3 linked regions of the Macaca mulatta genome follow. The protein of the gene in region 3 purifies or fractionates together with the protein of the main gene of each other region. This does not show direct contact. Links are inferred from orthologs where the notes say so. Each region holds a gene or a part of one and is shown on either strand. Other genes may lie near its edges.

Region 1 (3,751 bases), on a different chromosome or scaffold from region 3:
TCAACCTCAACTGGAGGCAGTTGCACTCCAGCCTGGGCGACAGTGACTCTGCCTCAAAAAAAAAAAAGAAAAGAAAAGAAAAAAGAAAAAAAAAAAAAAAAGAAATGGCTCCCTTAGTAGAGCTGATGCTAATCCACTGTGTGCGCAGTTCCTATAATGTAACCAGAAGGACTGGCAGGTGACGGGGGTACGTAGGAGACAAGCCATTTTAAGAGGAGGGAAATTAAGGGAGCAGATTCGGAGGGATGGGCCAATTTTACTGGCACTTAAGATATTAGTGAGATGACTTGGGCCAGAGGCCGGGATTTTGCACTTCATTTACTTTTCATATTGGAGAGGAATAAGGAAGTCAGTTGGTTTGGATGGAATATGTGTTGTCTGAAGAAGGGTTTAATAGGCTGAGAAGCAGAGATGTCTACGAGGTAGCTGACATTCGAATCTGGACCTGAGAAAGGCTCTCGGGTTGGAAAAACGGCAGGGCTGGTTAGTTTTCTACACACTTTAACACGGCCTAGTCACCGCTGCTCCCTCCTCATTTTAAGTAAAGTTCTTTCTTTATTCATATTGCACGCCGGAGGCTTCATTTCGCGCTTTTTTTCTCCTAGGCCCGGGGCTAGGGCAAGTCCTTTGCGCCCGTCACCTAACAACGCCCCTCAAGCCCTTCCCCGCCCCCGCGCCGCCGGAAATCCGAGGTCTGAGCGAACCTTTTACTAGGCACTCTAAGGAGCAGCGATAGGACACCGCGGCCGCCAATCAGGCCTTCCAGATACCCGGATGTGAGACGGTGCGCGATACAAAGGCGAGTTTCCACCCAGAGGGTCGTCCGGTGCAATAGCCAATAAACATTCCCCAGACGATAAATGACAGGAAAATTAACCAGTTACAAACTAGTTTCTCTCACGCATGTGGAAATTCTTCTGCTTAGTCTAACCCACTGCCAATTGTGACTGGATATCATTGTGAGAAGCGGTTGAACTGTCTAATTAGGAGCGGGAGCGAAAAAACACACAGCCAATAGGAAGATTCTTAGGGATGGGGCGGGGACTAGGCCTTCGCCTCGGCGGCAGAGGAGACTCGGGGGCCATTTTGTGAAGAGACGAAGACTGAGCGGTTGTGGCCGCGCTGCCGACCTCGACCTGCAGTCGGTTTCTTCACGCCGAATCCGGGAGTAGGAGACTCAGAATCGAATCTCTTCTCCCTCCCCCCTCCTGGTAAGTGGAGAGGGCGGACGCAGGGAAGGCGCTGGGTTTTTTGGGAAGCTAGAGGGGGTGTGGGAGAGAATATGAGGGAACCCTTCCCCCTAACTAACCGGGCCCTCATTTATTCTGTTTGTTTTGGGGGATTAGGTCTGAAGCGGGAGGCGGTTTTACAGGCCTCAGCCTCTGCGTAGGTTTAACCTGGTGTCCTCTGGGCCACGATCGCCAGGGAAAATGCCCTTTTTTCGCTCTTCCTGTGTTAACGGCTGCTTTCCTTTCATTTTCTACGACCGCGAGGACTCCGGGATCCTGAAAATGAAGATCGCGATGTTCATTAATATAGTCGAAGTTAACATAGCGCCGATGCCTTCTATTACCTCGGTTCTTCTTACATGTAAAAATTGGGGGAGGGGGAGGGGGAAGGTTACCAAGTAGATGTATCGCGAGCCTTTAAATCCTGGATCGTGCCGCGTGGCCTATGAGAAAGGTTTAACAAAAGATTTAGCATTTTACTGATAACTTTTTATTTTATTCCTCTCTATGAGCAAATAATGGAGCTCGAAGTAGTTATTTTCACTTACGTTTGTAAAAGGAAATATTGTGTATAACTATATTAATAATTACAGCTGACTTTTCATCTGCAGGTTACAAAACACTTGAAATATATAAGTTAGTGGAACTTTGCTTGAGGTAGGTATTAACTCTCTTTCTCAGACAGAAACTGAGGCAAAGTGTTGATTGCTAGGGTCATAATTAAGTCAGTAGCAGAACTACTAAGGAATTTGACCACGAGGTCAGTCGAGTGGTTTTTACCTGGTTAATGGAATACCGGGTTCTAAAAGTACAATATTTGAATCTTTGCAAGAACCTGATGACGGAAACCACGAGGTAACTGGAAATTCCCAAATTGCGCTTAAGAAAAATACTACGAGACTTGAGAATTTGTTGTTAACGTAACTTCCTAAGTGTAAGATGACAAAATTTGACTTTCGGGTTATTCTGATGTTAATTTTCCCGTCCACCTAAACTTGGGCAAAAATTCACAGCTACATTTTATTAAGCAAATATTAACAGTGCTGTTATTTGCTCGGTGCTGAAATTTGATAAAAAACTTGTAAGTTAAAGTTACAGATCTTTAGTGTCACGTTCACTTATCTGGGAAATCGGTTTTTTAAATCCTCACATGAGATTTGGTTATTTTTTACAATCTGTTAATTTCACAAAAACTAAAGCTGTTAAGCACAGTTTAAACCAATTCTGCCGGGTAAGAAATTTATCTGTAAGGCAACCTATTTGATAGGAAGTAAAATAAGGGTCAAAAACATCGCGACCCCTTTAAGTTTAAATATATTATTACAGGAACTTAAAACTAAAGTTTATCATCGTGCTAAACTGTTAGAAATGAGGTAAAGGCAAAAATAGATTAATGGGGAAATCATGTAGTAAAAATGTTGGCAATGAGAAATGTCAGAAGTTAGTATTTAAGAACAGTTGATAATAGCTGAAATTGATTGACAGGCACTTTTCTTTGCCTTTGAGGTGTTAGAAATACGGGTTCCTTCCGATCAGTATGTATATCAGATCAGTATGTATATCAGCGTACCAAAAATTCTTTAATATCAAGAACTGTTTGCCACGGCATTTATATCACAATTCCAGGTGTGTTCTCAACTGGATAGGCATTTAGTAACATTTTCGTATTGGCTAGCGTATTGGCTAGGGGGAAAAGTTGAAGGATGGCCAGGTTGCAGGTTTTCTGACCTTTTTTTCCCCCCATTCGTGTGCCACTCTTGGGAATACTTGGTAGTTGATGTTCCTTCTGTGGAGAATTTAAACAGCTTACGTTTGTAATTAAATCTCTTAGAGGATTTGACATGGCATTCGACCTTGTTTTGGATGGAATGGCAGTGCGACACAAAGAATAAACTCAAATAGCTAGTTGCTCTAATTTTAAAGACTAAGGGGCAAATTATTAAAACTTAATATTAAGTGTTGAATGTGAGGTGTTGAATAGGGAGTAAGTTTGCCTAGGAGGAGAAATAGATTTTAATCCTCCTTGCTTAAATAAGAGGACTTAGACTTTTTTTTTTTTAACTTATTTGAATTTTTAGTTTCTAATTCAAATTTTTCGTTGCCAGAAGACTAAAAACTGTACAGATGCAGTCTTTTTAAAGCAGTTTTTTTTTTTTTTTTTTTTTTGAGACGGAGTCTCACTGTTGCCCCAGGCTGGAGTGCAGTGGCACAATCTCGGTTCACTGCAGCCTCTGCCTCCCGGGTTTGAGCGATTCTCCTGCCTCAGCTTCCCAAGTAGCTGGGATTACAGGCGTGCGCCACCACGCCGGGCTGATTTTTATATTTTTAGTAGAGACGGGGTTTCACCGTGTTGGTCAGGCTGGTCTCACTTCTGAGATCAGGCAATCCTCGTGCCTCCGCCTCCCAAAATGCTGGTATTACGCAGGTGTGAGCCACGGCACCCGGCCCCAGTTTTCTAAATTAGTAGTAGTTACTACTATTCTTAACCACATTATTTCAGTCTTCAAATAATTAGTAGTTGT
Region 2 (3,651 bases), on a different chromosome or scaffold from region 3:
CCTGGGAATTTGTATTTTTAAACAAGTAAACTTCAGGTGATTCTGATGCCACCAGACTGGTATTTGGGAATCACTGGTTTAACAAAAGTACACATGGTGATTTGGCATGGTATTCGTATTTTAGGTGAAAAATGCACCAAGTAGGTGAAATAGAATAGTTTTTATAATGGCAGAGTATTTTTAATAATTAATCTCCTTTGCCCTCTTTTGAAGTCGCTCCCCAAGTAGGGAGAAGAAGAGAGCTCGTTGGGAGGAAGAAAAAGACCGATGGAGTGACAACCAGAGCTCTGGCAAAGACAAGAACTATACCTCAATCAAGGAAAAAGAGCCTGAGGAGACCACGCCTGACAAGAATGAGGAGGAGGAAGAAGAACTTCTTAAGCCTGTGTGGATTCGATGCACTCATTCAGAAAACTACTACTCTAGTGACCCCATGGATCAGGTGGTAGGTCCGAAGTAGCAGACAAGCTGTAGACCAGGGTTTCTGTGTGTTGTCACTATTGGCATTTGGGGCTGGATAATTCTTGATTGTGGGGACTGCCCTATGTATTGCAGGATGTTTAGCAGCATCTCTGGGCTCTGCCTATTAGATGCCAGTAGTACCCCTCCCCAGTTGTCTTCAAATATTGCTAAATGTCCCTTGGGGGGAAAGATCACCCCCAGTTGAGAATCACTATTACAGACAAAAGCTGTTTTAAAAAGCGAAAGGCCAAGAGTGCAGTAGGTTAATTAAAGTATCTTTTTACAATGATTTTTTTTTTATTTGAGACGGTCTCGCTCTGCCACCCAGGCTGGAGTGCAGTGGCACGATCGTGGTTCACTGCAGCCTTGATCTTCCAGGCTCAAGTGATTCTCCCACTTCAGCCCTCTGAGTAGCTGGAACTACTGGGACACGAGCCACCGTGACTGGCTTATTTATTTATTTATTTATTTTTTAGTAGAGATGAGGTCATACTGTTGCCCACTCTGGTCTCGAACTCCTGAGCTCAAGCAATCCTCTGGCCTTGGCCTCCCAAAGTGCTGGGATTACAGGTGTGAGTCACTGTGCCCAGCCTATTCTACATTTTTAATGATACTGGTAGTCTTGATACTGGTGGTTTCATAAGGTTTCATGTGTAACTAGTTTATGCAGTTTGTGGTGTGTATGTGTATATGTATGTGTTTTTTTCCTCCAAAATGAGAAATAAGGAAGAATTTGAGTTTGTCTCTTCGAAGTGTATCCTTGACCAAAAGAGCACCAACCCTATGAAGTTGCCCATGCATATCAGCTAGTTTTGCAGAAAGGGAGAGCCATTGTCACCCTTAATGGGCTGGAGGGAGGACTCCTAGAGCATATGCTGCCAGGGCTGGGGTGCCTGTGGTGATACATTGCCATCGCAGACTCCACCACTATCTCTACATGCTCACTTCTCTTTTCTTTCTTCCATCTCCATTTTATTTTCTGTCCCTGTCTCCTTTTTGCTCTCTCTTCCCCTCTTCCTCTCTTCCCCTTAGGCATTATGCCTCCATCCTGTTAGGCATATTTGCCACAGAGTAGGCATGCAGTAATGTTCATTGATTAAATGAATGAGTGGACATCTCTTTCATTTAATCAATGAACTCATGTACAGATTTAGGGCATGAGAAGTTGCAGATGTTAGATTTAGTGCATGGGATTAGGTAAGAGATAAGAGAGGGTTTTGTTTGGAATTTTGTGAAAATAGCTTCTGTTTGGACTCGATCTGTGGGGAACTTGAGATTTCTGTGTTTTTGGAAACAAAGGATTTGAGAAGTCTCTCATAGTGGTGTGATATTTTATTTGATAAATTAGAGCAGGCTTTTAAGTCATAGTTGATGTGGTACAGGGAAGGGAAAGCTCACATACTGTGCGCTTTCACGGTGCCAGAACGTTAGTCCATGCTTCTCATGTTGTCTTAGTTAACCCTGAAAATACCCCTGGCAAGAGGGTCTTTCTGTCAGTTAGAAATGCTGCTGGGAGTAATAACACCTGACTAAGTGGGACTTAAACAAGCTGGATTTGTTCTTCTCATGATAAGGTACCTGGAGGGAGGCCATGGCTGGTGTTCACTGAGTGGCTTAGTGATGGCAGGCCCTGCTGTCTTCCTGAGCATCTTCCACAGTTGCAGGATGATGCAGGACCAGCAGGCCTCAGGTCCTTATACACCTGTGTCCCCACATGCAGGATGCAGAGGGCATGTTGGGTGAGCATTCTTCCAGTGTCTTGCCCAAGCTCTCCTTTCATCCCTTGACTCCCCTTCCATCCCTTTACCAGAGCCATGTGACATGCCTACCCCAGGGATTTGTTTTTCCTTACTGCCATGACAGAATTCCACAAACAGCATGGCTTGAAACCACACACATTTGTCCTCTCACAGCTCGGGAGGCCAGAAGTCCAGCTTGGGTCTCACTGGCTCCATCAGGATGTCAGCAGGTCTGTGTTCCTTTATGGAGGCTCTGGAGAAAATCTGTTTTCTTGCTCATTCAGGTTGCTGGCAGAGTTCAGTTCCTTGTGTCTGGAGGACAGAGGACCTTGTATCCTTGCTGGCTGTAAGGTCAGGGCACTTCTTCGTTCCTCCAGGCCATGTGCATTCCTTGACTTGTGGATCCCTTCCTCTGTCTTCAAAGCCAGTAATGGTGGTTGAGTCCTTCTCATGGTTTAAATATCTCTTGCCTCTTTTTCTGTTACATCTCTGACCCCTGTTGGCAAAGGTTCCCTGCTTTTAAGGGCTCCTGTGCTAAGATTGGGTCCACCCAGCTGCAAGTCCGTTTTGCCATGTAAGTTAACATATATATTTAATTTCTGGGGATTAGGACATGGGCATCTTTGGGAGGGGTGGGTGGCTCAGTCTACCTTCCCAGAGATCAGGAGTTCTCTGCCCCAAATCTGATAGAATACTGCTTCTATTAGGAAGAAGGAAAGAATGGCTGCCATAGGTGTTATTATTCTTAAAACAATAAAGATGAAGACACTGAAGTTCAGGGAGTTTAAACAGGCAGAGCTGGTTGTTTTTTTATTACATATTTATACGAGTATATTAAAACTCCAGTGTAGGAGGAAGACTGATAAACTCAAAAGGCTGACATTTGCCTTTGAGTTTTGTCGTCTGTGGTGCAGAGAAGGTGGTGAGGGATGTCAAAGCTATACCGGCATTGCCACTCTCAACAATGAGATGCGGCCTGAATTATCCCTTCTTCTGGGTACCAGATTTTATGATTTGCCTTAATTTTACATTTGGCAGGTCTGGTTTTTACATTTTAAGGCTACTAAGTCAGAGTGTGGACATGTAAAATGATTTTCAGCCTGGAAAATGAGTGAGGAAAAGTGGAAAATTTCCTCTAGGAATGCTTCGTAGAGTCCCATGTTTGTTCTATGTGTTTGTGTGTGTGTGTGAAAGAGAATGTGTGCATGTTTATATCCTTATGTTTAAGGCATGAGTGTGTGTGTGTGTGAGAGAGAGAGAGAGACAAAGAGGATATATATGATATTCCTTGTTCCTTGTTGGATTAGTATAGGAGAAGACAGATTATCAGTGATTTTTCAGTAGGAAGTGTACATTCCCTAGGAGGGTATTTGGTGTCAGTTGTTACGATTCTCTGAGGTCATGATTTTTAAAAAAAATGTCATGTTAAGAGGGCGTAGATGAACTGTTA
Region 3 (3,651 bases):
TCGGTATTATATATCTCCCTTTCTACTTTAGAGACAAGAGTGATTAAATTAATGCTGGTAAAGCTTTTGTCGTTTGATTTTTTTGTTATTTTTATCGTTTTCTTTTCACCCAAATATTTCTTCTGGCTGCCTGTGGGAAAATATTACAGCTATTAACCTTTTAGTTTTTGCCTATATACAGATACACAGAACACTTGGAATTTGGTAATATCTTTCCCCTTATTTATCCTCATTTTGAAGTTTTGCTTGAAATTCAGGGAGATATTCAAAAGAAGGATTTTAACTCAGAGAAAATGTTCAACAACTGAGATTATCTGAGAACAGATCTTTTATTCTTCCTACAAATGAAATCTGGCCAGTTAGCATCATTAACAAGTACAAATGTTCCCATAGAAGTAGCTTGTTTGGGCTACAGGGAAACATGAAATCAGTATTTGTCCTTTTTAACCATCTTATAGCTAAACCTTAGCTTCCTAAAGTAAGGGTAGGCTATGTAGTCTTAATTGCCTGTGTTTGTTTCTTAGGGGGAAGAAATTTGTGGCAATGAAAGTAGTTAAAAGTGCTGAACATTACACCGAAACAGCACTCGATGAAATCCGGTTGCTGAAGTCAGTGAGTATTAGATTATATGTATGAATGCAAAGAATTATAAATATATCAAGTTTCATTGAATTAAAGCACACCAAGTGGAGACTCCTCAGCATGGATAATTTTCTCTATAAAGTTCTAGTATCCTTAAAGAGGTTAAGGAAGACAACAATATTTACACATTCCATGCATGTAGTAGGGAACTGGTGGGAAATGCTATGATTAGAATTCTTACACACATGAACCAAAAAAAACCTTTCAAATGAATAAAAATATTCACTGAGCATGTTTTACAGGCCAGGTAACTACTGTCATAATGTTTTTCTTTCCTACTATGGTTAAAAGGAAAGTTGTGTAAATAAATGTATAGCATCTTTTTTGTTGTTTTCAAATATGTTATAGAATACATAATATAAAAATACTGTATTTACTGATTCCATTTATACCTGGAAACTGAGATAAATTCTATAAAAAATGTACTTTTAATTTTGTTTTAAATTAGGAATATGCCATTGTGGTAGAAGGAACTTAAACTCAGAATTAGAAAACCTGGGTTTAGGTCACCTTTACCCCGATATGTTCTCCATGTTACCGTGTTTTTCTTTCTGAGTTTTAGATTTTTTATTCATAAAGTGAGAATGTTGCACCAGGAGATTTCTATGGCAGTACTTTTCTTATTTTCGACTCCTGGCCTCAAGTGATCTGCCTTATTAGCCTCCAGAGTAACTGGGGTTACAGGCACAAGCCACTGCACCTGGCTTAAGACAGTACTTTTCAGAATGTCCGTTTGTGACAAGTTTAGGAGCCTTGTACCTACCCAAAAGTAAATACTGTTTTCTTCATTGAGAAAGTTTTTCCATGAAAAAAAAAATGTTGGCTGAAATAAACAGTGCTGTTGGTGCTATAGTTGATTCGCATCCTGCAAAAGCTGCTTAGTTCCTCATAGCCTGGTAATCTGCAGTTAATTTGGAGGCCACACTTTGATATCAGGGAGCAAAATAGTTTAGCAAAATTAGAAAAATAGTTCCTGTTGGTTGTATTTCCTCTTATGAATTGACTAAGATTTTTCTCCATTAAAGCTATTGAAATTTTAGTATATTTTAAAGATAGATTTATGTGAGCTCTTTCTTGTAGTTAATTTGCTGTAAGTATTCTTCCCATACCATTTGGCTTATTTCCATGCTTTACTCTCTTTTCCCCACTACAGGTTCGCAATTCAGACCCTAATGATCCAAACAGAGAGATGGTTGTTCAACTACTAGATGACTTTAAAATATCAGGAGTTAATGGAACACGTATCCTTTTAAAAACCTATTTGAGAATAAATCATCCCAATCCCAAAGAAAGGAACTAGATTTGTTGTGTAGATGGCCTTGGTGTCTTTTCTCAAGGCAAACTATAATAAAATTACCTCTTTTATTGTACACTTCTGAACACAGCTCTGAATTTTGTCTGATTTTGTGTGGTGTGATTTTTCAGGATATTGCTTTAAGTTTTTTGTCCCCTTTTCAGGCAATTAGACCGAAATCAAAGAAACTTTTAGAAAATGCCTTGTATCACCAAGTAAAGAATCTATGATTTTTGTTAGCACAGAAACCTTAAGGGAAGTAATTTATTATGAAAAATAGTGTGTTGGCTGGGCATGGTGGCTCACACCTGTAATCCCAGCACTTTGGGAGACCGAGGCAGGTGGATAACCTGAGGTCAGGAATTCGAGACCCACCTGGCAAACATGGTGAAACCCTGTTTCTACTAAAATACAAGAATTAGCTGGGCGTGGTGACAGGCTCCTGTAATCCCAGCTACTGGGCAGGCTGAGGCTGGAGAATCACTTGAACCCGGGAGGCAGAGGTTGCAGTGAGCCGAGATTGAGTCCACTGCACTCCAGCCTGGGCGACAGAGCCGGACTCTGTCTTAAAAAAAAAAAAAAAAAAAAAGATACTGTCTAAAAGAAAGAAAGAGAAAGAGAAAGAAAGGAAGAAACTGGGTAAACAATTTAAAGTATGATTGTATTTATTATACTAAGCCTCAACTTTGAAGAGGCTGTGAATGTAGATTATGTTTAGAGTCTAAAAGGGTGTAATTATTCGTGTTCTGTTATAATGAAAAACTGACTTGTTTTATGTTTTTATCTGGATTTTTAGAATTGTAGAATTGGAAGGAACTGTAGCTGATTTTCTTCACAGGTATCAAAGTGATGTGCGGTGGGCTAATTGAAAAGTTGTTGAAACAGCTATGCTTATAAAGGTCAATCAGATTTTTCAGTAAAAGTTGAAGTCGAATCTTACTTAGATTGGAGAATCTAAAATACCTGTTTATAAGCTAGTCTTAAAATGTATAAAGACATTTCATATATTATTTTACTTTTCATGCATGTTTAGCTTCCTTTAATGCACATTCCTAATTGCTGTTGATCTTTTTTTATTTAAAGGAGACAGGATTACATGTGACTGTAGTTTCATGTAGACTATGGGAAGAGATTTGAACAGAGAAGCAGGAAGGAAGTTGGAAAGGAGAGAAAACAGTTGATAATGTGGAAAGACTATTGTTCTAAAGTCAATTCTGAGTCATTTCTTAGAAAAATACAAATCACAGATCCCCCAGATGTCTAAGGAAAACTGCTGCAACCATCTTAAAACAGTATCTTGTGCTTATTGTGGTCATTTTGTAGATGGCTTTCTCTCTCTCTCTCTCTCTGTTTTCAAAGAATTAATAATTCTAACCAAGAAATTTTTAAAAAACACACACAGGGTGTCATGATGGCCGTATCTGTTTTTTCTATTATTTAATCTTGTAATGTTTTTCATTGTGCCAGATTTCTTTACTAATTTGCGAAAGTTCCAAGTAAAACTATAGAAATACTCTCAAATCTCCCCGGTAATGCTGAGTACCTTTATTTGACCCTAACTAAGCAAAGAAGGCTTTTTAACTATTGAAATATCTTAGTATGTTTGAATTTCAAGTTCCAAGATATTTTTCTTTTCTTTTTCTTTTTTTTTTTAGATGGAGTTTCATTCTTGTTCCCTAGGCTGGAGTTCAATGGCACGATTTCGGCTTGCCATA

The links.
Region 1: the proteins of SRPK1 (region 3) and HNRNPC fractionate together in Homo sapiens (co-fractionation; 3 studies listed by BioGRID and IntAct, with this or other methods). This does not show direct contact. The link is inferred for Macaca mulatta from reciprocal best matches to the Homo sapiens genes SRPK1 and HNRNPC.
Region 2: the proteins of SRPK1 (region 3) and DROSHA purify together in Homo sapiens (affinity purification with mass spectrometry; 3 studies listed by BioGRID and IntAct, counting the BioPlex papers as one, with this or other methods). This does not show direct contact. The link is inferred for Macaca mulatta from reciprocal best matches to the Homo sapiens genes SRPK1 and DROSHA.

The regions. Positions count from the first base shown.
Region 1 is NC_133412.1:94,116,825-94,120,575, reverse strand, and holds the start of HNRNPC (heterogeneous nuclear ribonucleoproteins C1/C2), read left to right. Parts: upstream 1-1,039; 5' UTR 1,040-1,211; intron 1,212-1,840; exon of another isoform or gene 1,841-1,886; intron 1,887-3,751. UniProt on the Homo sapiens protein: Binds pre-mRNA and nucleates the assembly of 40S hnRNP particles. Interacts with poly-U tracts in the 3'-UTR or 5'-UTR of mRNA and modulates the stability and the level of translation of bound mRNA molecules. Single HNRNPC tetramers bind 230-240 nucleotides.
Region 2 is NC_133411.1:32,870,512-32,874,162, reverse strand, and holds part of DROSHA (ribonuclease 3), read left to right. Parts: intron 1-213; coding exon 214-445; intron 446-3,651. UniProt on the Homo sapiens protein: Ribonuclease III double-stranded (ds) RNA-specific endoribonuclease that is involved in the initial step of microRNA (miRNA) biogenesis.
Region 3 is NC_133409.1:146,368,381-146,372,031, forward strand, and holds part of SRPK1 (SRSF protein kinase 1), read left to right. Parts: intron 1-524; coding exon 525-612; intron 613-1,795; coding exon 1,796-1,883; intron 1,884-3,651. UniProt on the Homo sapiens protein: Serine/arginine-rich protein-specific kinase which specifically phosphorylates its substrates at serine residues located in regions rich in arginine/serine dipeptides, known as RS domains and is involved in the phosphorylation of SR splicing factors and the regulation of splicing.